4 linked regions of the Drosophila melanogaster genome follow. The protein of the gene in region 1 purifies or fractionates together with the protein of each later gene. This does not show direct contact. Each region holds a gene or a part of one and is shown in the gene's direction. Other genes may lie near its edges.

Region 1 (7,855 bases):
GCCAAGCGACTGGAGCTCTACGATGAGGTGATGAGCCCGGTAATAGCCTGGTACGAAAAGAAGGGTCTGGTTGCCACTTTCAAGGGAAAACAGACAAAGGAGATCTGGCCGATGATGGAGCTTTTCCTCAACGACCGCATAAATGCGTAATGGAGCAACCCCGAAATTACATCCAATGTGCACAAACTAACGATAAACTGCTGTGTTCAATTAAGTGCATAATATATTTAGATATATATAAATGAATACGTATGAAATATGTATGTTTGTGGGCCGGTTAAGAGGAACAGGCGTATAATTAATGTAATTGCGAAGCCTTACACAGTAGCAGCTGTCATGTATTCCTTCTTCCACAGATATCATTCCCCTCATGAGCATGTCTTGCAGCTCCCCCCTTTTTTGTATAAACATATTTTTGTACTCGTATTCTGTGCTCTGATAATAAATCGCGTTTTTTATATATATAAATATATATATATATGCGCTGATAACAGCCGACTTTGACTTTTGGGCAGTTAACGGACAGCCGTCGATCTATTTTTAGGCAATGTCCACAAACCCTTGGCCCCATGCGTGAAGCCAACACTTTTAGCTTCACCTCATGACACCCAAATGCCCTTCATTTTATCGCGTAGCGCATTAATTTCTAAAAAATATGGGATAGTGTGGCGCTCCCGTTTAGTCTCGCGCTCTCTTACTCACACATGCACGGACCAGCTGCTGTTCTCACGCACACCTGTATAGTGGCAAATCACAACAGAGAGGCGCTTGTACAGTCAAGGGCGCCCAATTATGTCAGATTTAAAATTCTTTAAGTCATTTATAAAAAATTCAATAAACCACTTATTGTTTTAAAGGTATACTTCATAATAAAATGGAGATAGCTGTTTGCCTTTTAAACACTATACTTCGGAATATACCATTACTGGGAATCTTATTTCTGGATAATTAAAAAAAAAAACCTATATAAACCCCTTTGTGGCCACCACTGTGCTGCGAGCGCCCTCTCACCTCTCTCTCATTTAGACCCGACTTGCGCTTGGCCCAATATTACGGCTTTTTCGGCACGCCAACTGAGTGTGCCTCTCTTCGCACATGCCCCCACCGTCTACACTCCCCTCTCGCGCGATGCGTTTGGGTTGGCATTTCCTGAAACAAATGCCAGTACTCAAGAATCGTGAAGAACGAAAAGAAATTCAATTGCAATTGCAACGGGCGGCAATTGAAAGCTTATCGATGAATGAAAGGCGAGCGCCGAAGGCAATTAGAGGAATTTGCGAGCAAGAATCTCGAAATTGCGGTGAAGCGGAGGGGGAGGAAGCCCCATAAAATGGCCGCTGTGCTTTGTTAACTGATGGAGTTCTTTGTTTATGCGAATGGGGCCGCAACGAAAGTCCAGCTGACCATCGGGCGGACAATGGATTGCAAACCGCTGACAAAACAGAAAAAAGCACATTTCTATTTGTGGAGTACATGATGGGTTGTGCAGAAAACCATCTTTGTTAATATTAGATTACTATATCTAAGCTAAATCTTTTCGGTAATACGATCTATATGTACACATGTAAACAATACCCAGAATCATAAACTAAGAGCCTAACGTTAAATGTAGGGTTTTGAAACACTTTCTCTGCGTGTCTACAGCTGAGTCATGGATGATGCAAGCCGAGCTTTGAGATGTGCATTCCAGGAAGCGGCAAGTTATGCTCGACTGGCACTTACCGCGTATTTTGGTGCGCTTGTTGACGTTCATCCAGATCTCGCCGCGAATTATGTCGCCCGCAAAGTAAACCCGATCCGCGCTGTCCAGCGTGATTCGCAGCCGCTCGCTTTCCATTCCGCTGGCGTTGATGGTGATGACTCCTCCGGTTTGGCCACTTTCCTCACGCACTTATCCAAAAATAATTTCGTCATCAAAATGCCGCCACATACAAACGTACATGGATGCACTGCAGCACCACGGCCCGCACCACCCTAAAGTATATGCAGAATAGTAGCACCACCACACGCACTCGCCTCACGATTTACGATTTGATGTTACTACACACACCGCGCGGTGAGTGGGAGCTTTTTCGCGCTGATTGTGGCCAGTTCTTGGGGAATCTCGATATCCATCAATTCGCAATGGCCCACAAGTGTTGGTCGCACACCCCGGGCTAATTTAATTCGATTGCTGTCGTCCGCTGGCGGGTTGAATAATTAAATTTCTTATAAATTTACGAGATCCGTGAGTTACGCTTTTTTGTTGTAGCTGCAGCTCTCTTTCGATAACCGTGAGAGCGGCGGTCCGATAGCACGAACAGCTGTTGCGCGGTGCTGCCACCGGGCGCCTGGCCAGCTGAAGCGGTTAATTCGCAGACTTTTTAATCGGTATTTTCAAATGTGTCTAATTTAAAGTTTAAGTTCTAAACAGCGTTTCTTAAATGCACTGTTTTCAGTTGTAATGCAAGAGTTCAGAAATGCTTGGTAGTAATGGTCTTTTTTTATGGTTTGATGTTTGAAAAGAGAAGAAGAAACTCTCTGTTTGAATATCGCCAATAATTTAAGTTGATATATTTCACTACGAATAATAATTACCAAATATTTTACTGTATAGATAACAAAACGCTCAGCTTAGATGTCAGCGATGATTGAAGCATACATACATATTTTATTAAGATTAAACTTTAGTTGGCTTAGCAGCATAATGCTCCATATAGTATTTCGTGTGCTTCCCCGTTCTGTCCTTCGCTTCTTCTTCTTGTAACCTCTCGCGCACAAAAGTTTGCTTCTCGGTTCTTCGGTCTCACCAAAGACTTTTGAGAATTCAGTATTAAGCCAGAGCTGCTCGCGTTCGGAGCTTGCGAGCTGAGTCGCCGGAACCCTCGAATACATCGAATCCCTACCTCTTCCACCAACTATCAATAAAACAAACAAAGGAACTTGATAGCGCGATACCACCCGACACCGTCGCCAAGGAGCCAATTCTGGACAGGATGAGCAGCAAGGTGAACTTCGTCTTCGACAGCAATCCTTTGGGGCTCTATCAAGCCGGTCAGCTTATCTCCGGCACGGCGGAACTGATTACGGAGCGCCCCAAGACGATTCGATGTAAGTGACACCGACATGCGGAAGAAGACGCACTACATACATATGTATTCTAATGGACTCGAAACCATGACGTCATCCCCCTCCATCACCATTCAAATTCTGAATCCCATACCGTTTTACCATCCACTAATAAATAAATATCCACTTAATATTGTTGGTGCTTTGTTATCCGCTGGTTTAATGTTATTGTTGCCGGTAGATATGCTTGAAAGATGTGTATTGTATATACAAATGTACATATATGTATGTATACATAAAGTTTATATACAACACACATGTGGCCGCTTGGCTGGCTGGCGGATATCTGATAGCGGCGTAAAAACTAGTTTTGTTTTGAAATTGCGTACGCTGTTTGTATTATTAGATATTTGATTCAGTTACTGGTCAGCCCGTTCGTGCCAATACCTTTAAATTGTAGTGTATAGGTAGCATTTTGGGTCAATTAGGCGTAATTCATGCAGATATACATATATATATAAATTTATACAAATCCCATTAGCAAGCTAAGTGGACCCTAGCCATCGGTTCAAATTCAAATAATCAAATATTTCCTAGGGTATCAAATAGTCGAGCCTTAGCAGCGCTTTAATTTGATGGTGAACTTTATTAGGTAGCATTCGTTTTTTTTATGCTTCTGATTAAATTATTGTTAGTTCATTAACAAAGACAGTTGTTTGTAGCTGAGCAATTTTCCAATACAATTCTACATCCGAAACACACAAAAGGTCCAAGGTCAATGGCAATTAAACTAAATGCATAATTGAATTACATACCCGGCAGTACAGACAAATTAATCCAATTGCAGCGATCTTTATAACCATAAATGGATACGGCGAGACGCGTTGGCAGGAAAGCGAGGAGCGAGTGGGAGAGGATGGGAAGACGACCAAGTCCCTGGTGACCCACACCACCACCGAGGTCTACTACAGCACTGACCAGCCGGTTTACGGCCAGGCCGGTGGCTCGCAGCTGGAGTTGCCCACCGGCAAGTACGTCTTTCCCTTCCGGGCTACCATTCCGCCCAATGCACCCACCTCATTCAATGGTGCTCATGGTCAGATTAAGCACGAGGTTACCCTAACCATCGATCGCGCGGTTCGCTACAACAACACATTTAAGCAGTGCTTCACGGTGATCCTGCCACATGATCTTAATAGGCGGCTCGAGTATAAGGTATGTAGTCTTGGTTGTTCTTCCAAACTGAATAACCTTATGAAGCGCACTTCCCTTAGGAACCCCTCCAACGCTTGGAGTCGAAGAGCTTCTGGTGGGGCTCCATTTTCGGTGCCCACAAGCCGATGATCATGGACGTGAGCACCTCTTATTCTGCCTACGTCCCCGGCCAGAAGATTCATTTCCATCTGGTGTTGGACAACCAGTCGGATGTCCAATGTATGGACGTGAAGGTGCGTCTGATCAAGAACGTCTCATATAGAGCCAACTCATCGGGCGCAAAGGAGCAGTTGAAGGTAACCGAATCTCGGGTGGCGGACAAGCACTGCGGTGAGGTGCTGAAGCACAACAAGGCCAAGTTCGATGAGTTCCTCACGGTGCCGCCAACTACTCCATCCACGCAAAGCGAAAAGGATCCCATTCGAGTTAGCTACACATTGCGATTCATCGCCAAGACCTTCAAGCTGCACGGTGGTGGCGACTTGGTCATGGACTTTCCAATAACCATTGGCACAGTGCCGCTGCTGGGAAGTGCTGATGACAAGGGGCCCGGGGCGGAGAAGTCCCAGCCCAGTGGTGCCTCTCATCCAGGTGGGTTTTGCACTAAAGAAAGCATAATCGAAAGTGTTATTAATCGACGTTTCTCCGGCTTAGGCTCACCCAACTTTCAGGAGGACGTCAGCGATGAGCAATTCGAGTCCAACACCTTTAAGCCAAGATATCCCGTCTATCCATTTGATGGGAAGCCTGGAACCAATGGCTCAAACGGGGCAGCTAATTTTCCCAGTCTTTATCCCAAGGCAGAGGAGGCGCATCCTGCTACGCCTGTGAAATTCACACCAAATCCTGTGTCGCCAGCCGCACAAAAATCGCCACCATATACGACCAACACACCTGTTGCTTCTCCGCCAGGCGGTAATTTTGAGGTGCTTGGATTCAGTATACCACCAGACTATAAACCCACGCCTAGTGCTCCAGCCGCCTCTTCCACTGGCGGCATTGGGTGGAAATAGGGACCATAACTTAACCATTTTGTATTCTACACCTTAAGGCATTTTTAAATATACAAGAAAGCCCGCATAAGTGGCAACGCTGTGCATGTGACAGCTATATTAATATCGATAGTTAGTATCATTTTAATCCTAAATGGCCTTTTATTAACTCGAGTATAAACATAGTGATCTGGTTTCAGGAATTATGCTTACTATTAAAAAATATTTATGTTCCCAATTAAGAAAACCCTAAAACTGAATTTTAGCTTCTAGCTATTTTCTTACTATTGTTGTCAACCACGATAGCCGATAGTTGCCATCGCTGTTCGCTAAAAGCTCATCGCCAGCGGCTCGAACAGCTGATTCCGTGCACTTGGCGACGTAATTTAGTTTGTTTTGTTGTTGTTGCGTAGAGGTTTGAAGCAGCGCGTCTTGAATTCGGAAAACCAGTTTGTGGAAGTGGGAAGCGGCCAACTTGGACAGCGGCAGCAGGGGATTGACACAACTGCAACGGCATCTCAACGGCGGCGCTATTACAAGTCTGGCGAAAAGAAAGTTTTGACGCAATCCACGGGCCGCCGCCTGTAATGAAGAAGCGTCGGCGCCGCAGTCACTGCTGCACTCTGCCCGCGAACGGACGCATCTGCTCCAGGTGAGCTCAGATTGTAGTGCGCTGCTCTGGACATTCAGCAACATCATCATCATCACCATCGAGCGTGTTGCCAATGCCTTTGTCTCTTTATCTGAGCAGCAGCATCGGAATTTTGGGAACTGGACAACGGTCGCCGAGACATCGAACAACAAAAGCGGAAAAAAGTGAAATCGCTGATAAACCCGAATACCAACCGAGCTATTGTCAATCAATGAACGGCCGTTTGAACCTGGAGTCAACTTGGGAGCTCTGCGAATTGGCGGGCAATTGGCCATAACCGACCGAGATAATAGTGAAGTAATCGCAGAGACATACGCACGCTCCGTGGAGCATGATACTTGTAAGTCTCATCCTCAGATGAATTCCACTCCTACTATTTCCCAATTCCTGTCTACGCACTTGTACACAACAATTTGTCCATCGACTTTGATGAATGTGTGTAAACAAGTCGAAGTTTGCGCCCTGCCGCACCTCTAAAACGTTTTGAATGAAAGCTACAGGCAAGCTTTGCTAAGTCGGATTTTCGAAAACTCCATCTTTGATACCAGTAAAACCTAGCATATTTCATTTTTATCAAGAAACAATCTTAAGCTTTCTTTTTAACAGCATCTACCTTGAATTTCACAAGAGTCAAGTAAATTACAAGTAACCTTCAAAACAAATTCTTTATGATAATATATAAGCTATACCTATTAGATCCAGCCTCATAGAAGTTGCTAAGTCCGAGTTAATAGTTGCATCTACATAGTTCCGACTGTAATAACGTCTCCACCTGTCTGCGTTTCTTTATTTTCAGAAATGCCATTGAAAAGTTGGCAGTCGCAGCAATAAAAGTGAAATCCGCACGAGCAAACATACGCACACGAAAAGCAAAACCAAAGGTAGCTCCGACGCAGACATGGCGGTAACCACAGGCTCCACCAGTGAGGCGACCACAACCACAACTCCCGTTCCGCGACGCAAGCACAGTACGCGGGAGCAGCTGCATCAAATGCTGGCCGGTGGACTTTCGGCGGCCATTACGCGCTCCACCTGCCAGCCGCTGGACGTGCTAAAGATCCGCTTCCAGCTGCAGGTGGAGCCGCTGGGCAAGAACGCCGCCAAGGAGGGACCAGGAGCCCTTACCTCCAAATACACATCCATCGGACAGGCGGTGAAAACCATATACCGCGAGGAGGGAATGTTGGCCTTCTGGAAGGGACACAATCCTGCCCAAGTGCTGAGCATAATGTACGGCATTTGTCAGTTCTGGACGTACGAGCAGCTCAGCCTGATGGCCAAACAGACCAGCTATCTGGCGGATCATCAGCATCTATCGAACTTCCTGTGCGGCGCTGCGGCCGGAGGAGCAGCAGTGATCATATCCACGCCGCTGGACGTCATCCGCACTCGTCTGATTGCCCAGGACACCAGCAAGGGATACAGGAATGCAACAAGGGCTGTGTCGGCGATTGTCCGCCAGGAGGGACCTCGCGGCATGTACCGCGGTCTGTCCTCCGCCCTGCTGCAAATAACGCCGCTGATGGGCACCAACTTTATGGCTTACCGCCTGTTCAGCGACTGGGCGTGTGCCTTCTTGGAGGTGAGCGATCGCAGCCAATTGCCCACGTGGACGCTGCTGGGATTGGGCGCCTCCTCGGGCATGCTATCCAAGACGATCGTGTATCCCTTCGATTTGATCAAAAAGCGACTGCAAATCCAGGGCTTCGAGTCGAATCGCCAGACCTTCGGACAGACACTGCAGTGCCACGGAGTCTGGGACTGTTTGCGGCTGACCGTGCGCCAAGAGGGCGTTAGGGGCTTGTACAAGGGCGTGGCCCCCACACTCCTTAAGTCAAGCATGACGACGGCCCTGTACTTCAGCATTTACGATAAGCTCAAGCAGGTGCGCTTCTAGGTCGGACTTGGAGTCGGGGTTAATGGCGTCTGAAAGCAATTGTGCGCCCAA
Region 2 (7,865 bases), on another chromosome or scaffold:
AGATTTTATATGTATTTCGTCTACTGTTTAAAAAGTGACCCAATACGATTGTTAGAGATAAGTCTGCACAGTTTGTCACTTGAAGATAAGTAGTTATTGGAAAAACGGGGGCTCCTAAATTAATAAAAAAAAGCGTGAGATTTGACATCATCGCCAATATCAATTGGATTTCAGCAGTCATTCATTGAAATGAAGAGCCAGTTTAAAAATCAAAGTGTCATGATCACATTAAGCTTTAAATGTAATTATTGCACTTTTGGCTTCAATGATTCAAAAGCATAGCTACATTTCTAAAGAATATTAACCAATCCATATATAGTAACTTACAGAGAGTTATGCTTTGTATCTGTATCTATGATTTGATGAGCCTGATAGATAGTATCTCAAGTTGACTACTCTTTCCGATTAAATTGTAAAGTTTTGGGTAATATTTTTGAAAAGAACTGTGAGGTTTGAGTACTTTCCCAGCTAATCTTGGCCCGAAAATCATTCAACAGCTGTTCACTCCACTGTGCGTCTGTCTGTCTGCCCATTAAATGAACGATAAAACATGCCGAATATATTTACATATATACCCCATCTATGTGATATGGTGGCCAGGGGCTGTGGGCTGTGGGCACTCGCATGAGGAGATAACGATATAAACGGCGGCGGAAGAGTCTCCGAAAAACAGTCGAGACTGGAGCGTCGCCGGGTTTACACGATCCGAGAGCTTTGCATCGCAGAAACAGAAGAAGAAGAAGGCATTGAAGTCCATATCCTATACCGAAGCTATCATGTTGAAGGCGGTGAGTGTGTGGTTCCAAGGGGCGGACCTAATCTAATCGCCGGTTCAGATATGAAAGTGGCTTCAATTTAATTTACTATCAATACCCATCGATTCACCTTGATTACTCCGGATGTTTGGCCCGCTGCAGATTATCGTTTTTGCCACTATCTTGGTGGCCGTGGCCATGGCCATGCAGCCACTGGAGGACAATGAGCGAACCCATCATCTGAACCACAAGCGCCAGTTGTCGCAACAGCACCACCACCACCACCAAAAGCTCCAGGAGGTGAGGCATTCGGGCCATGATAGTCTGAAACATGGTGGTTCCCACGTTAAGGAGCATCAAGCGCATCACTCTGAGCGAAAGGCCAGGCAGAGCCACAAGGAGCCGGGCCACAAGAAGAGTCACCACCAGAAGGAGCACCGCCAGCAGCAGGACAACCACACCCGCAAATCCCGATCGCATTCCAAGGGCAGCAAGCAGCATCACAAGCGGCACACGGGATCGCGTCGCCACTAGGATAATCCTGTATCCTGTGGCCAGGATATATTCTATTTAAACTCTAGCCAATGGATTCCTTATGCGAGGATTAAACTCCGAATACAGTAAACACTCGTATAATTGCATGTATGGCAACAGTAAAGCCAATCTATTTAAATGTTTACAAAACTACTGTGAAATATAAGCCATGACCAAATAAACACACATTTCATAAATGATATTAATATCCACAAGCAGCTTCAACTTTTAATAATTTGGAACACTTGATGTAGGAAATGCATTTAACTTGGATTTTAAGTTGAAAAACAGGTAGTATTTCAGAGAATTATGAGTTTTAAATAGTTTATGGCCGCAATAACTAACTTCTATAGTATGGTTTTCTTTTGAAATTTTACAAAGAGTTATATACTATATAAACTTCTGGCTGATATCCATTGTATAGACCAGCTTTCTTGTGACCCCGTTTATGGCCTGAAATTTGGCCATGTGGATCGTTAAAGATAGGTCCAACTAAAGGTTCAGATGTGTGTAATTACTCGACTTGGCCAACTCGGAATTTTGCTGGCCGGCTTATGTATGTTACGTTAGCCGCCTCAATTTCTTTGGAAGTTCAAAAAACAAAAAAGAAATCCGGTTTTGGACAATTGAAATTTGAAAATAATAAACCACACATGCGAGCGTAGTCGTACGTAAAGTGTTTTTTGTTTTTGTTTTGTTTTTATTGCAATAAAGCCGGTGTTAATTGTGCTCTGGGGTCAAAAACTGCCGCTGACGTCATCAACTCGTCGTTGCAAGACAGTGAAAGGGTTAAAATTTCAAAACTGGGGGGCTTGCTTGTATAACTTCTTTGGTCACTAGTGCGATTACATAGGATTTTGTGGATTAAGGAACGTATGTCCATATGTCTGAAACTTCTTGCTTAAGGAACGTTTTTCGGTCTGGCATCATAGTATTATCCCCAAACTGGGTAAATTCGGGGACGATAGAATCCGCCTCCGTAGGAGCGATATCCGCCGTAGCCGCCGTAACCGGAATATCCGCCGTACTTGTAGCCACCTCCATAGCCGCCGTAGTAAATTGGCGATGGAGCTGCATAGTAGCCGTAGCCAATGGAGTCCGCGGTGGAGAGATCAGCCTCCTCAGCGGGTTTCTTGTCCTGCCAAGCGAATGGATTTTGTTGGTTGGTTTTGAAATGGAAAAACTAAAGATATGACCTACCTCTATAGGAGCTGCGCTGATGAATCCGATAATAGCCAGGCACAAAAGGATGGAAAATAACTGAAAATGTTCACAACATTTACTCATTATGATAGAAACACTTTTTGTTTGTGTGTAATACCTTTGCCATTGTTGCTTTTATTTGCGAAATTTAACGGGGATGCACTCTAGATTTTATGTTTTTCTCTCAAATTAGCAACTTTTCCCGATCGTGTTCTGGCCAGAAGCGTTGTTGTCCGTAAACTGTGATCCCCAGCGACCTGCCGACAATATTTATAGTGGCCCAAAACGTCCCGGGGATCGATTTTGCACATGATCATTGATTGGACAAACATTCGGGAGTCTGGGGATGTCGTTACCCGATGCGAAATGAGGTGTTTCATTATCACAGATGACTCGATGGGATCTTCCAATTCGGTTATTTGAATTTCTAAGCTACAGTGAGCATTAGTTAATGGCCAAAGAAAAAGTTATTTAGTGTTTTATTTATTCGGTTTGTTGTTAGCTAAAGTCGACTGTGTGTTCTTATTTTTACCAGTCATCAACAATAATATTGACGCACTACACTAATTAAGTTCCTAATTATTAATATTAACACATTTGTTGACGAGCTGATTCATTGATTTAATTACAAGGATTTAGCCTTAATTAAAAATGCTAATGTCTCGATATTTTTTACTACTACAATACAAAGTAATTTAAGTGAATAAGGCTAATTAGTTTTAGTCGTCGCAGTTTTGGTGAATTTGTAATATATTCCCCAATAACACCGTTATTTAAATTTTCAAATTTGCTCGCACTTTGTGTGGTTATCTTGACTGCTTTTTACCACTAGACTGTTTAGCAATTCACCTAATCTCTCGATAGACGATAGATGTCTTATCGATTGAGTGATGTGACCGTTCTACTATTCTATAAATGGCTGCCGCATGAAAAAGTAAACCTCTCGTTTTGCGAACCGGAAAAATTGTGAATTGCGGCCAAAGAAAGGCAGAAAAAGTGCCAAATAGGCAGTACAGTTGCAAATTAACTGCCAGGTAAGATATTCAAACCAAGATTAGCTGGGGGAAAAGCGAAATTTACGCTTTTTCACAGCGTGGTGAAAATTGCAAAAGACCGCGACGTCGGCGGCGGCATTTCGATTTCTCCCCCTGAAACAAAACGTGTCTGTGTGTCGTAAAGTGTATGTTTTTCGTCGTTTATTGATTAGGATAAGTGCCGCGGAACGATGTCCATTCCGCCGTACATGATACCACAAAATGCGTGGGCAGCCCAGCTGATGGCCCAGCAGGCCTACGCGGCTGCCCATGCTCAGCAGGCTCAACTGCACGCCCAGCAGCAGATGGCCAACCAAATTCAGCAGATTCCGCCACCGGGGGCTCCGCTGCCGCCGGCCGGTGGCCATACCAACGGTATACCCATCCCGGTGGGAGGTCAGGGACCCGGATTGGGCCAGATTCCCACGCCCAAGCCGGACATACTCACCGAGGAGAAGCTGCAGGAGAAGGCGCTTAAATGGCAGCATCTGCAGTCCAAGCGATTCGCTGAGAAGCGCAAGTTTGGCTTCGTGGATACCCAGAAGGAGGATATGCCGCCGGAGCACATCAGGAAGATCATTCGCGATCACGGAGATATGACGTCGCGCAAGTATCGTCATGACAAGCGAGTATATCTCGGCGCCCTGAAGTACATGCCACATGCTGTGCTCAAGCTGCTAGAGAACATGCCAATGCCATGGGAGCAGATCCGGGATGTCCAGGTGCTGTACCACATCACTGGAGCCATTACCTTTGTCAATGAGATTCCCTGGGTTATTGAGCCCGTCTACATAGCACAATGGGGGTAAGTTGACTTTAACTTGTCCTCGTGGACACAACTGACGTTAAACACTTCCGCAGTACAATGTGGATCATGATGCGGCGTGAGAAACGCGATCGTCGCCACTTTAAGCGCATGAGATTCCCGCCATTTGACGATGAAGAGCCGCCTCTAGACTATGCCGACAACGTGCTGGACGTGGAGCCCTTGGAGGCCATTCAAATTGAGCTGGACAATGACGAAGACAATGCTGTATACAAATGGTTTTATGACCATCGTCCTCTAGTGGATACACAGTGAGTTTTGATTTGTCATTTATATCTGATCTTGTTTTGATTCATTTATTACCATCTAAGGTTTGTGAACGGCACTACCTACCGAAAGTGGAATCTTTCCCTGCCTCAGCTAGCCACGCTGTATCGATTGGCCAATCAATTGCTCACCGATCTAGTCGACAATAACTTCTTTTATTTGTTTGACCCAAAAAGTTTCTTCACCGCCAAGGCTCTTAATATGGCCATTCCAGGAGGACCTAAGTTTGAACCCCTCATTAAGGACCACAATGTTGGGTAAGACAATGCATACCCTAAATACTTGTTAAAATGTAATTCCTGCTTTTATTTAATTTTAGGGACGAGGATTGGAACGAGTTCAATGACATTAACAAAGTCATTATCCGGCAGCCAATTCGCACGGAATACCGCATTGCCTTTCCTTACTTGTACAACAATATGCCACACTTTGTGCATTTGAGCTGGTAAGAGTCCACATTCTTCAAAAATTACCATTCTAAAATCTTATTTACGTGGTTAGAAACGTTTCCAAGTGATCAGCCTCTCTGGAAATGCTTCATGCCGCGTTAGAAAAACGACGAGCTCCCAGGTTACTGCCAAATTTGCGATAAAACGGGAGCTGCAATGAATATGTTCGTGGCGATTGTTAAGAATTAATCGTGACTGCTGATAGTTGCATACATATAAACTCATTTGTAGCTTAGAGGATCCACATGACCACATGATGTACTTTGTCTATTTCAGGTATCACACTCCCAACGTGGTCTACATCAAGACCGAAGATCCCGATCTGCCTGCATTTTACTTTGATCCGCTCATCAATCCCATATCCCATCGCAATGCAAACTCGAAGATTCAGGAGCCCCTACCTGATGACGACGAGGACTTTACTCTTCCGGACGACGTGCAGCCGTTCCTGCAGGACACTCCCCTGTACACTGACAACACTGCAAACGGAATCGCCTTGCTGTGGGCACCCCGCCCCTTTAACATGCGCTCTGGTCGCTCCCGTCGTGCCATCGATGTGCCGCTGGTCAAGTGCTGGTACAAGGAGCATTGTCCACCTGGCCATCCGGTTAAGGTGCGCGTTAGCTACCAGAAACTGCTCAAATACTATGTGCTCAATGCCCTAAAACACCGCAAACCAAAGCCACAAAAGAAACGGTGAGTTTTATTTAAATCAAACTATAGAAACGTTTTGAATTGTATCCTTACTTTGCAGCTACCTCTTCCGTTCGTTTAAGGCCACAAAATTCTTCCAGACCACAACTCTGGATTGGGTTGAGGCTGGACTGCAAGTTTGTCGTCAGGGATATAACATGTTGAATCTATTGATTCACCGAAAAAATCTTAACTACTTGCATTTAGATTACAATTTCAACTTGAAGCCCGTTAAAACTCTGACCACCAAGGAGCGTAAGAAGTCGCGATTCGGAAATGGTAAGCAGTTAAATTTCTAAAAATTTCCCTTTTATCAATTCCTTTCATTCCTATTAGCTTTCCATTTGTGCCGTGAGATCCTGCGTCTGACCAAGCTAATCATTGACTCTCATGTTCAGTATCGGCTAAACAATGTGGACGCCTTTCAGTTGGCTGACGGACTGCAGTACATATTCGCCCATGTTGGCCAGCTGACTGGCATGTATCGCTATAAATACAAGCTGATGAGGCAGATTCGAATGTGTAAGGATCTGAAACATTTGATATACTATCGCTTCAACACGGGGCCCGTGGGCAAGGGACCCGGATGTGGCTTTTGGGCACCTGGATGGCGAGTCTGGCTGTTCTTTATGCGCGGCATCACTCCGCTACTGGAACGCTGGCTGGGCAATCTATTGTCGCGTCAGTTCGAGGGTCGTCACTCCAAGGGTGTGGCCAAGACGGTGACTAAGCAGCGTGTTGAGTCCCACTTTGATCTGGAGTTGCGTGCCTCCGTGATGCACGATATTGTGGACATGATGCCCGAGGGCATCAAGCAGAACAAAGCTCGTACCATTTTGCAGCATTTATCGGAGGCATGGCGTTGCTGGAAAGCGAACATTCCGTGGAAGGTGCCTGGTCTACCCATTCCCATTGAGAATATGATCCTGCGTTACGTGAAAATGAAAGCCGACTGGTGGACAAACACGGCTCACTATAATCGGGAACGTATACGACGTGGAGCAACCGTCGATAAGACGGTGTGCAAGAAGAATCTGGGGCGACTAACGCGACTCTATCTGAAGGCGGAGCAGGAGAGGCAGCACAACTACTTAAAGGACGGTCCGTACATATCACCGGAGGAGGCTGTGGCTATTTACACAACCACGGTCCATTGGCTGGAATCACGTCGCTTTGCGCCCATTCCCTTCCCACCACTTTCATACAAACACGATACCAAGCTGCTAATATTGGCCCTTGAGAGGCTAAAAGAGGCGTATAGCGTTAAGTCCAGGCTGAATCAAAGTCAGCGTGAGGAGCTGGGCCTCATCGAACAGGCCTACGATAATCCTCACGAGGCGTTGTCCCGCATCAAGCGTCATCTGCTCACGCAGCGAGCCTTCAAGGAGGTTAGTTATCACTATTTCTATCTGTATTTGAAATAACTTTAAGACTTGTATTACTATCTTAGGTGGGCATTGAGTTCATGGACTTGTACAGCCATCTGATTCCAGTCTACGAAGTGGAACCCCTGGAAAAGATTACAGACGCATATTTGGATCAGTATCTGTGGTATGAGGCTGACAAGCGTCGATTGTTCCCGCCATGGATCAAGCCCAGCGACACGGAGCCGCCACCATTGTTGGCCTACAAGTGGTGTCAAGGTATAAAGTTGGAACTGGTTTCAAAAGAACATAGTTGACGGCGGTACCGGGCATTTTGGGTGTGTGATTTGTAGCAAAGTGATATGTATTTGATCATCCCCTTGTTGCAAACCTCACGCCAAAGATGATCTGCGAAATACACAGTGGTATGGAAAAAAAAGGAATATAGAACCCCTTTGATACTATCTCTGGCTTAGCTTATTCGTATTTTTCTCCTCAACAGGCATTAACAATCTGCAGGATGTTTGGGATGTGGGTGAGGGCGAGTGCAATGTGCTGCTGGAGTCTAGATTTGAAAAGCTGTACGAGAAAATTGACTTGACGCTGCTTAATCGTTTGCTCCGCCTGATTGTCGATCATAATATCGCCGATTACATGACGGCCAAGAACAACGTTGTGATCAACTACAAGGACATGAACCACACGAACAGCTACGGCATCATTCGCGGTCTGCAGTTCTC
Region 3 (7,463 bases), on another chromosome or scaffold:
TGAAGTCGTCGAGGGCTCTGCGCGAGGCTTCCGAGATCATCTCGGCCAGTCCATCCGCCCTGCAGGTGAGTCATCTTCTTCCATCTGAATCCAACCATCGGACATTTGGAACTGGCCCAAATGGTTTCATTCGTTCCATCTTCTTCTCTACTTAGTTGCGATACTTGCAAACACTGAGCAGCATTTCAACCGAGAAGAATTCGACCATCATCTTCCCGCTGCCCATGGAGCTGCTCACGCCCTTCCTGAATACCCAAGCACACTCGCAGCAGCTGCAACTGCAACACCAGCAGCAGCTGCAACAGCAACAGCAGCAGCATCAGCACCAACAACAACAACATCCTGCGGCTCCTGGCACGCCACTCCATCGACACCCGCACCAACACCACCAGTGACGCTCGATGTCGGTGCTGCAACCATATCTGGAGGCACTGCATCGCTGCGAGCTGCAGCGTCAGCAGAAGCAACAGCGAAGCGGAGCGGCTGCAGCGGGAGCGGCGGATGACGATGACGACATCGTGGGTTTCTTGCTCTAGTGGAACGGCGGCAGCAGCGACAGAAAGCGGAACTGTCCGGAAAATCCGGAAAATGAGTCACCAATGAATTCGAATGAAAGTGCCATGGAATTCCCTAGATTCTGGAGAGATTCAAACATGGTTCGGACTTAAAAATAAATTTTTTTTTTTTAGAATTTATTCTAATATGTCGAATTTAGTATGCAATAGTAACTGAGGCTTTTCCAAGGCTTTTCCTTCTTCATTCACAGTCGTTTTAAGTAGAGACGTTATATTTAAAATAACCAATATTATTTGTTTGTATCTTAAGAATTAATAACAATAGCTAACTACAAACCAGGGTAAAAGCTAACCATTTAAATAAACCAAATGATTCAGAAAACACATTTTTTTTTTCAGTTCTTCCCCCTTTTTCGAAACAACAAAATTTACATTTATATATGATATATATATATGTATGTACATATTTGCTCTTCGCTTATCTAAATAACTCAGATTTGCATGCCACTTCAGCGAGTGTGGCAGATAAGCTCTTCAGTGCTAATGTGACCGCCAGATCAGAATTGAGTCACCATCGGGTGGCTCCAGCCAATGACCCGTGACCCCAAAGCAGAACTGCGTCTCAATGCTCCAGCTGAGATAACCGATTGATTAAAGTGCTAAACGCACTTGGGCCAGATAGAGCTTACTCGGCTTTCATTGATCGTCGGTCGGAATAATCTGAAAGTGTACGCCTCCAGTTGGCAATTCTTTCGGCGCAGTGCAGTGAATCATCCGTGGTGACCCATGGCTCTCGACTTACAGAGCGGCTCTTGGTGTTTCCCCGGTCGTAGATACACTACACTGAACGAAAATTTACGAGCCGATGCATTTACATTCCATTCCATTACATTCTCTTATATGGCATGTGCTCAATTGCTGTGGAGGATGTACGGACTAGAGATCGCCTCTTTCAGTGGCGGCACACTTGGTTCGTGGTGTTTCAGTGCAGTGCTTCTTTTCTCTCACTGTTGAATCGCATTTAAGCCGCTCGGCAGCTCAGCGTAGCGATAATGCCAATGCGATACTTCGTATCTGAGAGAACCAGTGCGCTCTTATCACGTGAGAACGCTTTTGGGCATTCAGTTTGGCTTTTGCGGCGCTGACCGCTGGCGACAGTTTCGAATCCATAGCCGATCGGAGAGCAACGAACGTAGGCCAGAACGGAGCAGAGAAACAGCAATGGAGCCGCACCAGGATTCGCCCGTGTACGCCAACTACGAAGATATGCGCAACTCTGGGCCGGCCAGCTCCACGGCGTACATGGTCAACATGGGCGCCGCCGGCATGGCACCCGAGCCGGCACTTCGAGTGCCCGGCACCACGCAGCAGTATCGTGGATTCAAAACTTGTAAGCGGGCGGAAACGGTGTATACTATAGATGCAGCAAGATGATGACCCATCCCGGCCAATATTAGGAGAATTATTATTGTTAAAAAAAAACAAGTCTTTGCTTACTGTCAAGCGCTAATCACTTTAGATCGATTGAGATACGATTTCTTGGAATCGCTGGTTCAGATAAGATTGCAACAGCATTTTGATCGCGTGAAAAGTTTGTTTTTGGCTCAAAGCATTCTACAATATTTCAGACATGCAAAACCGCTTGATTCGGTTAATAGTATTCACTAGATAGGAGTTCTAAAAATACAAACTATCTCTCGCTTTATCAAAGTAGTACTAGTAGCAATTTGATTTCCATCGTAATCCCACATAATCGTCAATTGCTACAACATTCTAATTGTATTGGCGCATATATATTACACCTGTCTATATTTTTAATCGTAGGAATTTTTATTGGACTCCAAGATAAGCGGGCTGATTGGTGTTTATCCGTGTTTTCTTTTTTTTGATTGTGATGGCTATTGCTTTTCACAGCTTTCTCTTTTTCAAGTTGTTACATAGTCCATCATAGTCCTGTTTTACTTAATAATAAGTTGGTCTCTTCGGAATCCGGACAAAGAAGGTACTTCATCTTGGCCATCGAATTGAAGTGGACTTATCTACGTTTCTCTTGCGGCACAATTATTGTACACATATGCCTGAAATATGGCCATTTTGTAGATGAATATTTCATATTCATATTCCTAACATCCCATTGCAGCGGAGAACGAGCCCAAGGGCTGCATGGAATGGGTGGTCACCCTGTTCTCCGTGCTGATCTTCATCATCACATCGCCCATCGCCATCTTCATATGCTTCAAGGTGGTGGCGGAGTACGAGCGGGCGATCATCTTCCGGCTGGGCAGACTGAGCGGCGGAGCTCGTGGTCCCGGCATGTTCTTCATCCTGCCGTGCATCGATGAGTACCGCAAGGTGGACCTGCGCACGGTTACCTTCAATGTGCCGCAGCAGGAGATGCTGACGAAGGATTCCGTGACGGTCACTGTGGACGCCGTTGTCTACTATCGCATCAGTGATCCCCTTTATGCGGTCATCCAGGTCGAGGACTACAGCATGTCCACTCGCCTCCTGGCGGCCACCACGCTCCGAAATATCGTCGGCACTCGCAACCTGTCCGAACTGCTAACCGAGCGCGAAACCCTGGCCCACAATATGCAGGCCACGTTGGACGAGGCCACCGAGCCGTGGGGCGTCATGGTGGAGCGCGTTGAGATGTAAGTAGCCATTTAGTAGGCATTTGACATCCATCAGATCAGATCAGTATTTCTTAACATCTGTACGTTGTATGCACTTCACCCGCTGACAGCAAGGATGTCTCCCTGCCCGTTTCCATGCAGCGTGCCATGGCCGCCGAAGCGGAGGCAGCTCGTGATGCTCGTGCCAAGGTGATCGCCGCCGAGGGTGAGAAGAAGTCCGCCACAGCGCTCAAGGAGGCATCCGATGTCATTTCCGCCAGTCCATCGGCCTTGCAGGTGGGTGTTGTCCTAGTAAAAGCTGAAATCAATCGTTGAGCACGGATTACCAGCCATTCGAATTTTTCTGTCATCACAGCTGCGCTACTTGCAAACCCTGAGCAGCATCTCCGCCGAGAAGAACTCCACCATTATCTTTCCTCTGCCCATGGAGCTGCTTACTCCGTATCTGGCCAAATATGCCCACTTGATGGGCCCGCCACCGGAACTTAAGCAATCGCCAGAAAAGTCAGATAACATAGTTTTAGACGCACTGGACGCTTGGCCGAAAACCAACCTATGATTTGAATCTAGGGCGTTGCCAGAGTTTGAAAATATTAATGTCTTATTCATTTTTTTTTTTTTTTTAATAAATGCAATTCGCACTAGCTGGCAGCTTCAGCAATCGGAAACTTGCCGCCATTTTTCATTTAACGATTGCACGTGAATTCATTTGGTTTACTTTTGCAAGAGAACTTTATTGCTAAACGATGGCGGACAAAGAAAACAGCCCCAACAACAAGAACACAGGTGGTTTCCCCGCGGAGGAGGAAAAGCAGAAGGAGAACGATCAGCAGAAGGAGAACGATCAGCAGAAGGAGAACGATCAGCAGGAGGAAGTGCAGGAAGAGCCGACAAAGGATGAATCCAAGGAGGCCGGTTCGACGCCGCCTCCAAAGCACATGGGAGTTCACAATTCGGCTCGGGCAGAGCTGGCTCGGCTGCTCGTCGAGTTGTTGGTACAACAGGCAGAACTGGATGCAACCAACGGTGGCAGCGTGTCAGGGAATCTCGATGGCGGCAATTCCAATGAGTCCCAACCGTTGAACGTGCCGCCTACGGATGCGCTCCTGGTCCGCGGCAAAGCAATTGAGAATGTTATGTACAGCTATATGCTTGGTGACACGGTCTACTTCATTGTCACCTGGAAGGGATCCAAGTGGGGGGAAGCCGTGCCTGTTCAGGAGATCAAACATGTGCACCCCAAGCTACTCATTGACTACATTAAGAGCCTGAAGCTACAGGACTGAAAAAACCTCCGAAGCCCGAGGATTTATAATATAACTGGAGCAGATCTCCAAATTGACTTTATCCATTATCATTATCCATCCATGAAGAAAATGTTAAAAGATCTTGAATCAACTCACAGTATTTAAGTTAAATTACTTTATTTTTTTTTTCGTTTTTGTCTTGTAACAATAAGTTTGCTTCAAAATAAAATTATCCTTTTTATTGTTTGTAAGTAATTCAAATTATTTTGTAAAGAATGTTTCGAAATAACGAATTGTTAAGGCACAAACACATTTGTTTCTCAAAATCAAGGTACAGGGTATGTTCAAATTGGTGTTCAGATTATTCCAATCTGAACACCAATTGGGTTGATTCCTAAAATATCATCCACTTGGTATGACTTGAATTAGATTGGATCACTAATAGTCAAATGGAATCATAACCATGTTGTGGACACAGGAGGTCAAATAAAAAGATGACCATAGAGAATGTTTAATGGCAATTGGATTCATAATGTTTCCTTTCGATTCATCCAGTGAATAACCAGACGCTCAATTGTATTAATTACAGCGAAAACCAGTCGGCTTTTTTAAAGACAATTAAATCCCGATCGATACATTTGGTATGAGAATTGCAACTGCAATGCTCAGATTTTAACAAAGTAAATGATTTGCCGACAGCGAAATGGATTGAAGAGCCACCTGGATGGCCAAAACCATATGTTCATTTAGCAGCGATAAGTATAGATGCCCTATAACCAATTAAAAGTAGCAAGTGTGGGCAAAACAGTAGAAGTAGTTGGAGTTACCTGTATTACTGATGATGAAGAAGTGAACTCCTCCTCCTTTATGGAAGTACACATTCCATTTTCGGTACACTCAAATGCTTAATTGGAAGTATAGAAAACATGTAAAAGTTTCAAATGCCAACTAGAGAGAATGCTATAGTCAAGTTCCCCGACTATCAGATACCCTTTACTCAGCTAGTGTGAATGCGAACGCGAAATTTCTGAATTTTTCTGGTATATCGATAGATATTGGGGAATAAAAATTGTTCAAAAGTGTGGGCGTGGCAGTTATGGCCGCTTTAGGGCGTTAGACTGGGTGTGGCAAAAAAAAAATTGTAAATCGATAGAAATTTACACGACTAATAAAATTATTAAAAAATATCCAAAAAAAATTTCAAAAATGTGGGCGCGGCAGGTTTGGGCGGTTTTAGGGCGTTAGAGTGGGCGTGCCAAAGTTTTTTTTAAATCGATAGAAACTTACACGACTTATAAAATAATTTAAAAATATTTCAAAAATGTGGGCGTGGCAGTTTTGGGCGTTCGAGTGGACGTAGCAAAACGTTGTTTGCAAGTCGATAGAAATTAATGAAGACTAATCAAAATGTGAAAAAATATCAACACATTTATTAAAAGTGTGGTCGTGGCAGTTTTGTGCGGTTTGTGGGCGTTAGAGTGGGCGTGATAGCCTTCTAGCATTTATAGTACCTAAGATCTCGACGTTCATACGGACAGACGGACATGGCCAGAACAACTCGGCTATTGATCCAGATCTAGAATATATGTATATCTTCTGTCTGTTACATACTTTTCAACGAATCTAGGGTATAAAAAATATAAAACCCTCGGTATAACCAGTACGATCACAAATTCATTAACAATATTCAAATATTTATAAGCAACTACAGTTTTTCCCGGCATTTACAACATATAAATGTTTGCCGGATCTACGTCCAATGATTGTGTTGCTATTTGGGCGATGTTCTTTTGAAAACTTGAATCTCCAGCCACGATGAGGACACGCTGTCCGGGAATCGCGGGATTGAGGTGGGTGGCCAGTTCGGTGGCATCTAATCGGGACACCTTTGCCGTCTCCTTGTAGCGTAGATTGTCCCGGAGCTGAGGGCACTGCTGGGCACAGTGGCCCGCCTCCTGGCAAGCGGAGGAGTCACACTGCTGATGCGGCAGGTAGAGGCAGCTCCTGTAGTTCCAGAACTGGGCGAACTCGAGCATCTCCTCGCGGAAGTAGACATGCAGCAGGTCGTGAGCGCACACCAAATGCCACAGGCGACTCATATCCTCCTCGTTGTCCAGCACCTGCCGAACCAGCGGCAGAGTGGGTGCAATAGCAACTCCCTGGGCGATAATATAGATGCACTTGGCCGGCTGCGGTTCGTGTACGTATTGCCCGATGGGACCACGGAATTCCAGCAGATCGTCGGGCTGTACGGCTTGCAGGTGCCGAGACATTGGCCCCTCCGGCTGCAGCTTCACCAGGATACGGAACTCTTTGGCCACAAAGTCGCTCCAATAGGGCGAATACGGACGCAGCAGGGAGCCGACGCGCAGCATCACATGGTGGCCGGGCGGGATGTCAAGCACCGTGTCCACCGCTCCATCGCCGTCCCCCTCCTCTGCTGCATGAGCAAAGTGCAGGAGCAGCAACTGTCCATTGGGTCCCAGCGCTTCCCGCCGCAACAGGCGGAACTTCGTGTAGCTCAGGATCACGTTGCGTTTGCCAGCCAGCAGGACGCGTTTGCTTGGCCGTGGCTTGTTGTCGAGGATGCAGTTGGTGCAGCCATTGCCGCAGCAGTCTGAATCCCGCAGCTGGTCCTCGTTTTCCTTCAAATCTTCCAAATAAGATAACATTTTCCTGTGCCTATCGAGGCTATCGATAGCAGGCTAGCGTAGCCGGAAATCTGGCGAATTGTAGCCAGACATCTGGCTAGTCCTTAGTCAAGCCAATCGCCAGAGCAGGCAAGAGTTATCGATATCGAATCTCGGGACAGAAATGCCAGTCAAAAAAGTGTGTAAATAAAACAAAGAACAGAATATCTACAGGGAAAGGGGTGAAAGATCGGCGCCAGGCGTAGAGTACTAACTGCCCCCGCCCCCCCACTCCATCATAACACACAGCCTTGTTCGGGCGAAGATCGCTTCGTGGAGCGGACGCGGTGCGGCGGGTGCCCACGAGCAACTAGTGTCCAGGTACCAAGTGTCCAGTGACATAGCTCTATGGTGTCCTCAGCAACATGAATCTGG
Region 4 (8,381 bases), on another chromosome or scaffold:
AGAAGTTGCAGCAGCAACAGAATCAGCGCCAATCCTCGCCAGCGGCGCATCTGCCGGAGTTCATTGAGGGTCGGTCGCCCTATCACGTGGACATCTCAGCCAGCGATCCGGAGCAGGCTCAACGCCTGCAGCGCCAGCAGGTGGACGTGCTGCCTCCGCAACTGATACCCATGCCGCAGCTAATTAAGCCCTTCCACTTGGAGGCGGAACCGGAGTTGATTCAAGCTCTGCCCCCCGTCTCCGCCAGCAGCAGTGCCGGTTCTAATCTCCTCGAGAGCTTCAATCATCCCGGATCGCAGTACTTCCGCAGCTCCCGCTCCTTGAGAGGCGATAGCTATCTGGATACCAATCGCCTGACCGGCGGCGATTATGCCAGTCCGCGCTCCATTAGTGCCCCCATTTACCGCAGCGATCTTGGCAGAGGAGCCAATGGCCTTTACCCCCCCATCGACGCACCCACCTACTTCTCGGACCAATCGCGCTCCTGGCAACTGGACGAGGAACCCACTCGGGCACAAGCGGTGGAACCGGAGATCGTTAGCTTCGATCTGTTGGCCGACGACGACCTGGCCGAGTCCCGAACCCTCCTCCGGGACGGACTGGCGCGCTGCGCTCGCGGAGAACGTCGTGATAGCTACGGCGAATGTCGCCAGATCGAGGGCTATTAAGCGGAGGAGTGAGAACGCCAGACTGCCAGCTTAAATGTTAGTTTCATACATTGCACACTCTAGAATTAAGCCGACGAAATTGTCTTATTAATAAATACGAAAACATAATCGACATTGAGATTAAACTGCTCGTTAGTAGGAGCAAATATGGGAGATGATTTATTTGCGACTAACATTAAGCACCATTACATGGCTAATAACTTTTTGTTAATAGTTAGCTTCAGATTGCAAATCACCTTCTATGTAGATGCTCCAACGGCGGAAGTGGGCACTGGATCTAACGGTTCGAGTTCGGCTTTAATGATGCGCTGAAGGATGAGGCTGGAGTCTGGATAGCCTTCCTGGGGCCATAAAACGGCAATTACTGTCCAGAGCCAAAGGCCAGGTGCTCCATAGTTTGCGATGTACGCGAGATTTATGTGCGAAACCAGTTTGCAGGTGGCTGCCAGCCCCTTCCTGTGGCCAAGTCATTGAACCCGCGCCCAGAACTGCACCCAGACTAGATAACTGAAAGAGATCTAGCTGTGTCTATTGCAGGCGGGGCAATTAGCACTGCCATAAAGATTTTGGACTTCTTTTTGCGGCAAATTGAGGTTATTGGGTTAACTTTTTTTGGAATCATGCTTACAGAGATTGGGTTACTAAACAAATTTAAATTGGCGCAAGATGAGTGAAAATAACTCATCACAATAATAAAAAAAGAAGTTTCTTCTTGAAACTCAATGCGATATCTGCGAACGACAATGGGTTAGATGAGGAGCCGGAGAAGATCGAACACAAGGCAGATAGTTCCTCTCGAATGGAACGGACTTCGAACGTGGCTGCTGGGAAGCATTAGAAATGCGCGGAGCTAAAGATTCCCACAGCAACCTGGCAATGCGGAAGTCTTTGGGCTGATTGGAGGCGGCCATTGAACTGTGTCCATAAATCGGGTTTTCTTGGTCTTCCAGTCTCCAGTTGTGGTCCAGGTGGGCTCGCCTTCACAGCGGCCGAGAACTTGGAATCATTCAACGCACGCCATTGGAGCACATCGGTCCTGCGGTCTTTTCGCTTGGGCAACATCATGTGCAAGTTCACCAACCGGCTGTTTGTGTTCGCCCTGCTGCTTGTGGCACTTGGAAGAATTCTGGCCCAGCCCGTTGGCGGCAAGACTAGGCCAGGGAATTCGAGGAACGTGATCAGCGACTTGCTGGACGTCTTATACGACGACTATTCCGAGAATGGTTTTCAGCGCGAGGACATTCTATACGACCAACGGCAAAAGGGTGGGGAGAACTATCAGTTCAAAGTGGATGGGGTCGTCATCGGAATGGCGCCTCAAATGAGCTCCAGCTTGCTCTACTCCATGGCAGAGTCCTACTTGAGTGAGTACTACTGTAATAGAATCGAATTGCCGACATAACACTAATTCCACGCCAGGTGAAATGTTGTTGCGCCAATCTACACCGGATCCAGATTCAACTCAGATGTACGAGAGGGATCCTGAGACCGACACAGACTCTGGTTCCACCGAGGGCGTAACTAAGATTCCTGAGCTAGCCCAGATTAATTTGGAAAGCAGACAACATCAAATTGTAGCTTCTCAAACTGCCAGCCGGTTAGTACAGCACTAATATGTAATTCTGCTTAGAAACTAATTAAAAGATGGTTTTTGCTCAGATCTCCAACTCAACTGCTCCAATTGCTTAAGATGCTCAAAAGTTCTAAGGCCTAAAATGATATCTTTAGATACTATGACAAGAAATTAGTCCTAAGTTCTTGGAAAATACATAGCAAATAAAATCATTCTTCGAATTTAAATTTCCGTTGATCCCATTGGTGCTGTTCCACTGAACAATATTTAAAAAGTTCAAAATCACTGTACAGTACTTGGTATTTTAAACATCCATCACTTTTCCATTCAAAATATATAAATATTGAAAAGCATGACATACGATGTTTTTTTTTTTTTATTTTAACTTAGTGTGTCAACTATCTTTATAAAAAAAATTAAAATTTTCTGGGAATCCAATAGAAAGCTCAGTCTGGAGATGAATCCTCGAAAGCGGAGCTAATTTGCAAGCAAGACTCGGCATCCAATAGTGGATATCTGCAGATCGTCCGATTTGAGAACTCCGAAATCATATGCTTTTCATTCCTATTTTCTTTAGATCCCGGACAATTGATTTCTGTTTTTTTTCTGTTTTGATTTTCATCATCGATTGATTAATTTCCATGAGGACATTGTTTTCAAAGCTTTTAAGACCGCGAATAAATCCAGTCTCATTCAGTAAAGATTCGTGAAGGCAATTTCGTGTGATATCAAGATATATATGTATATTCGGAAATAATGTTCACGTGAACCTCGCGATTTGGAAGTTCAATCCTTTGAAGGATTGAATGATTAGGACGCCATCCTTTATATGTTTTAGATATAAATATCACCCTTCACCTTCTCCAGTTTGATACCTATCAATATTACTAGGGAATGCATTACGACGGAATTCAAAACATCTTGAAAAACCTCCAATTACCCCAGTTCAGATTGACCGTTTTATTGCCTCCCATTTTTATAGTTCCGAAGAAAATTACGAACGCAGAGGCATCATTTTAGATTACCTAGATTGCCAAGTTTCATAAAACAAAACCATCTTTAGATTAGGTTTTCAATATTTCGGGTTTGCTGATTTCGATATCGATAAGAAACTGACGTATGTATGTGTGAAGTTTTAATGGGTAAAAATATCGATATTCTGGCGAAATTTTATGTAAAGCAAAATGTGAATGTAAAAATACTAAAAGTGGTGAGTTCGATAGAGCCGCGTAAAAATATTTTCATTATCGATAACCGAAGTATTATTAATCTTTGCCAAAGACCAGCTTTGGCATTACAATACAATTTTGGGGATAGATTAACTAGTGCAGCCCAGCAGGCAGCACCGTGATTTGCAACAATTTGAGCCTCACTCATTCAAGAACCTTCCAGCAACTAGTTCGCCTAGTATATATACCTGCTCTCACCCAGCTGCACTTGTATACACAATCGAACGGCCGAACAAAAACTACGCAGTAGTCGAGAGCTCCAAATTAATAGAATCCGTCACATAAATTCGCCGCAACAAGTTAAACGAGAATAAAAGCGTCAGCATCGATATATATACATACATATATTCAAAAGTCTGTCGAAACTACAGAATACGTTGCGAAAATGCCGGAGAAGCTGTTGAAAATCACCTACCAGGGCGCTGGACCCCAGAAAAAGATAAATGCATACCTGCGGATGCCCTCCCAGAATTACACCATATTGCGTCGCGAAATCGAGCTGTATCTTTTCCAGGAGCGCCAGTTACCCAAATGCGACGTAAGGACCTTCTGGATCGGTGAGTTTTACAATGAAAATGCCGCAGAGTGAATGTTTGCTATACATACAAACAGTTATTCGCAATTGCAATCGAGTCGCAAAGATTGCAACATATGTGCATGGTATAAGTACATTCGTTTCCATACATAACTGCATCCGTCCGAGCAGTGCTGACCATTTAGCTTTTAAGTCTCGTTACTTAAAAACCAGCCCAAATTATTGCGTACTTTGCCCAACAAAGCAGGGATTCACCTAGATAGTATTCCTGCTCAATGCTTATCATTGGCAAAATTGTGTTGACACATTAGCTGATAAATATGTACATATATATTTTTATGGTACAAACGTGGTCAACATATTAGATGCACTGTTTCATAAATGGCACACATACAAAACATTTTTGATTTTACATATTTCTGAATTCTCGAATTATACATATATATTTTAAATACATCTAACGCGCTTTTTAATTTGTAAAGTATGTGTACATGTACTCATATACATTTACATAGATCAAACGGGTTGTGCTGGTACAACCACAACTGTAGCTAATTTGTCTAACTAGAGCCCTCAGTGATTCACCTTTGATAACAAAACTTCACTGATTCATAATTGATTTTATTTTCCTTTGCCTATTCTAACTTTTGCAGACGCTGATAAAGATGAAATCGAAATAGTCAACCAAAATGACTATGAGATTTTCCTGGCCAAGTGCGAGAGCAATATGCACGTTCAGGTGGCTCCACTGGCGCCCGTAGAGGAGCCAAAGGCCACCAAGCAAGAGGGTTCTTCGGCCAACGCTGAAGCTCCTTCTGTCGACGATCCGAGCAATTTCACCATCCACGACGCCGTTGAATGCGATGGCTGCGGCTTGGCTCCCTTGATTGGGTTCCGCTACAAGTGCGTTCAGTGCAGCAACTATGATCTTTGCCAGAAATGCGAGTTGGCTCACAAGCATCCTGAGCACTTGATGCTACGCATGCCGACCAACAATGGACCCGGTATGGTCGATGCCTGGTTCACAGGTCCAGGATTGGGACGCCGCAGTGGCCGGCGCTCCAGGGGACATTGCCCGTTTCAGGAGACGAACCAGGCAGATCCTGCTGGCGAACCCGCAAGGGATAGTCGCCGTGAACGGCGTCAGGCCCGCCGCCATGCCGGAGTCTTGACTCAGTTTGTCGAGATGATGACCAACTTGCCGCTGAACACAACAACGGCCACGGCACCAGCCGAACCGCAGAAACCGAAGGCTGCAGAACAAACTGAAAGTCCTCCACAAGCTGAGCCCACTGTTACCGCTGAAAAGGCAGCTGAATCCGAGGCCAAACCAACTGAGCCGAAGAAGGTTAACACTGATCAAAGTGTCCCTAGAACCGAAGATCCAGTGACGACTCCACGTTCCACTCAGCCAACTACTCCAGTGATTAATCTGGATAACATTTCGCAGATTGTGCCACCCGAGTACATGAGTGCTGGCATCGAAATCCTTAATAACTTCAGCGAAATGTTTTCCAAGATTATCGATACCACTGAGGGCGGTGATTCGGGAATTTTTGCGCCCTCAACGACTCCCAGTGCTGAGAATAAGAAACCAGAAGAGCAGGGTCAATCCAGTGGCCAGTCGGGGGCATCCTCGGCCAACCAGTCAGCTGTTCCCTCTGCCGCTCCATCGGCTAATCAGTCTAATGTCCCATCTGCTAACCAGTCGGCCACTCCATCAATTTCTGGTTCGATCCCTGATGCTCAGCTTGAGACAGAGCCCCTGAATCCTAAGCCATCGGAAACCACCACCGAAACAGAGCAGGAAAGACGCCGTTCAGACAGCTTGGATCCAGAGTGGCAGCTTATTGACAATGCATACTCTGCAAACAATAGTAACTTGATCAATCTGGACACAACCAATCCCACTGCTGCTCCTCAGGAGCCGGTGCGTGATTTTGGTCAGCTGGGCGAACTATTGCGTCAGCACATGAATGAGGAGGCTCGCGTGGAGCAGGCTTCGGCCAACACCCAGACTGCTCAAGTTGATACGGTGAGTACATCGACCTCGACCACATCGGTGACCACCAATAGCGTCGGCACCTCCCCAGCAGCTCCCGACGACAAGCGCACGGTCCCCGTCTACCACACTGGTAAGTGCCGAATTAAATAACTAATCGCTTTGTATTAATTATGTCTCCTAATTAGATGAAAGCATCAATAAATCGATCCATGCCATGATGGCCATGGGTTTCAGCAACGAGGGCGCCTGGCTAACCCAGCTCCTAGAGTCGGTTCAGGGCAATATCTCAGCTGCCTTGGACGTAATGAACGTATCGCAGAACCGCAACTAAATATTCATATTCAATATCGATATATCTACAATGTATCTTCAATATCTATAGAACCCAATGAAAAAGGGATTTTACTTTATCGTATCAGTTTACTACGTAGCTTAGTTTTTCTGTGGTGCTAGATTTATCTCGTAGCCAAAATAAATGTGAAAATAGATATATGTTATGTTTTAAATAATCAACAAAATGTTATCGTATATATATGTATGTGTGAAATTGCAATAAAGGCACAAAGTAAAATGATTTAAAATGCCTGCTTTATACCTGATATGGTTTTGTTTAGTAGAGTACGATTGACAGACAACAAAAGCCTCCTCCACTTAGATAATGTGTTTATACGTATGGTATAAATCGATTCTGGTTTTTCAGAGTTCAAATCCGCAAAGCACTCGAATTATTTCTTGAGTGATACACAAATCCACAATACTGTGTTTCGGAATTCGATTCGTTTCCTGTAGTATTGATATTCCAGTGTGAACACTACTCGCTTGTCGAAAGAGCCTCAAAGATCTTCTCTAGCTTCTGCTGCATCTGATCCAATAAAATAGTCTGTCGCCAAGCCGGCAACATCTCGCACAAATCTCCGGAGTTCGTAATTTGCAGTCGTAATGGTGGCAATAAATGTGAAAAATTTGAAGAGCTTCTGGTGGTGTGCCTTCCACTGTCGCCGACCGAATCCCGTGTTATATCCGAACATTTGAGATACCATCAGAACGAGGAATCCGGACAATCCGAAAAATCGATGAAGCATTTTCAAGGCGAAGCCACTGTTGATGAAATACAGCGGAAGACCGCTCAGAACGCTACCCAGAAGAAGAGCACAACCGATTATACCTGATGGGCGAAAGATGGAGGCATAAATTATCATTATATTTGGGAAAAGAACCGACGAGAACACACCGTAAAAAGCATGGTTGCTCTTAAAGTGACGAACGGTGGCATTGGGGTCTTCCCGTTTGCGCTCCAGCTTCTGCCATGTCTTGATTCCGATTCCGCCGGCTCCGACCAGGAATGCCAACAGCCCCAGGACGGCGTGCAGGCGGTTGAGGTTCAATGGACCCAACGAGGACTCCAAATATGCGCTATTCCGGACCAGCAATGCTTCGCCCATGAAAAACACAAACTATAATGAAATAGAAGATAGATGGAACAATGATTTAGGACGGGTAAAAATTTCAGGAGATAGTAAACCAGTTTATATTTAGGTCTTCCGGGTACAGAAAACTCTCACTCGAGAAATATATATCCTTGAAACCATTAGATTATTTGTTAACCGTGGCCTCAAACTTTCACTTTTTCACATATGTTTCTAAATCTTTTAATATCCGAAATCAAAATACTTACGCCGATTGTGCAGTAGAAGGCATGTCCGGCGGTGTGCACCAATTTGAGCACCAGACACTTGTAAACAATGGCTACGGTGATCCCCGCCAGAAGCACATGCGAGATCAGTGTGCAGAAGCCAAAGTAGAGGCCTCCATAGGAACCTTGCAATTCGGCAGTTGTCATTATGCTGAGGATGTCTTAGCTGTGCGAAAATCACTTATCTGCTACGTGAGATGCGCACGTAGAACCGATAAGACGAATCCAAGTATTTGGGCACCATAAACCGAAACCGAAGATCGCGACTGCTCGTGGCGGTTGTTAGAACGCTTTTGAGAGTCTGACGGCATGGAACAGCTGGAAAAAGCCATCGAAAGCTCCGCCAGCGTTATCCGAAAAATCAAACTTTCAAAGCCAGTGGAGCGCGGCGTTTGCAAAAAGTGACTCAGCGGATCGACCCGTTCACGTGTTTTTCACCTTGGGGCGGGAAAGGCGGCAGCGGCCACAGGTGGCAGCGATTGGCATTGCTCTCCAGCTGGACGACATGCGATTATCGGTATTTTTGGAGCAATCTAAAACCGGATTGGATAATTGACCGGCGTTAATCATGGTGAATACACCATGAGTGATTCCCAAAAACAGAGTCAAGGGTGTTGCCATTTCCTAATTAAAGATCAAATTAAGTAATAACAAATCTAACCGAATGTTGAATAATCT

Evidence for each region.
Region 2: the proteins of CG14696 (region 1) and Prp8 purify together in Drosophila melanogaster (affinity purification with mass spectrometry, with the first as the bait; one large-scale study listed by BioGRID). This does not show direct contact.
Region 3: the proteins of CG14696 (region 1) and Mec2 purify together in Drosophila melanogaster (affinity purification with mass spectrometry, with the first as the bait; one large-scale study listed by BioGRID). This does not show direct contact.
Region 4: the proteins of CG14696 (region 1) and ref(2)P purify together in Drosophila melanogaster (affinity purification with mass spectrometry, with the first as the bait; one large-scale study listed by BioGRID). This does not show direct contact.

Annotation. Positions count from the first base shown.
Region 1 is NT_033777.3:10,879,955-10,887,809, reverse strand, and holds CG14696 (uncharacterized protein), read left to right. Parts: upstream 1-2,808; 5' UTR 2,809-2,975; coding exon 2,976-3,090; intron 3,091-3,895; coding exon 3,896-4,263; intron 4,264-4,322; coding exon 4,323-4,854; intron 4,855-4,917; coding exon 4,918-5,276; 3' UTR 5,277-5,377; downstream 5,378-7,855. Other genes in the region: Ak3 (adenylate kinase 3), read left to right, coding at 1-150; leash, read right to left, coding at 1,723-1,837; Tpc1 (thiamine pyrophosphate carrier protein 1), read left to right, coding at 6,806-7,804.
Region 2 is NT_033778.4:12,158,546-12,166,410, reverse strand, and holds the start of Prp8 (pre-mRNA processing factor 8), read left to right. Parts: upstream 1-3,412; 5' UTR 3,413-3,526; intron 3,527-3,699; 5' UTR 3,700-3,717; coding exon 3,718-4,331; intron 4,332-4,387; coding exon 4,388-4,603; intron 4,604-4,663; coding exon 4,664-4,876; intron 4,877-4,938; coding exon 4,939-5,064; intron 5,065-5,107; exon of another isoform or gene 5,108-5,285; intron 5,286-5,344; coding exon 5,345-5,764; intron 5,765-5,822; coding exon 5,823-6,040; intron 6,041-6,097; coding exon 6,098-7,149; intron 7,150-7,211; coding exon 7,212-7,404; intron 7,405-7,440; exon of another isoform or gene 7,441-7,539; intron 7,540-7,627; coding exon 7,628-7,865. Other genes in the region: CG34232 (uncharacterized protein), read left to right, coding at 900-1,289; CG13177 (uncharacterized protein), read right to left, coding at 2,224-2,427, 2,490-2,549, 2,611-2,619.
Region 3 is NC_004354.4:19,186,379-19,193,841, forward strand, and holds Mec2 (Mec2), read left to right. Parts: upstream 1-1,656; 5' UTR 1,657-1,736; coding exon 1,737-1,905; intron 1,906-2,655; coding exon 2,656-3,169; intron 3,170-3,261; coding exon 3,262-3,427; intron 3,428-3,506; coding exon 3,507-3,710; 3' UTR 3,711-3,815; downstream 3,816-7,463. Other genes in the region: CG33253 (uncharacterized protein), read left to right, coding at 1-65, 156-395; HP1D3csd (heterochromatin protein 1D3 chromoshadow domain), read left to right, coding at 3,898-4,437; CG7914 (uncharacterized protein), read right to left, coding at 6,123-7,070; CG14194 (uncharacterized protein), read left to right, coding at 7,454-7,463.
Region 4 is NT_033779.5:19,538,962-19,547,342, forward strand, and holds ref(2)P (refractory to sigma P), read left to right. Parts: upstream 1-3,506; 5' UTR 3,507-3,855; coding exon 3,856-4,027; intron 4,028-4,658; coding exon 4,659-6,140; intron 6,141-6,195; coding exon 6,196-6,341; 3' UTR 6,342-6,587; downstream 6,588-8,381. Other genes in the region: CG13082 (uncharacterized protein), read left to right, coding at 1-668; CG13081 (uncharacterized protein), read left to right, coding at 1,732-2,032, 2,088-2,265, 2,328-2,382; CG10337 (uncharacterized protein), read right to left, coding at 6,844-7,175, 7,242-7,464, 7,686-7,850.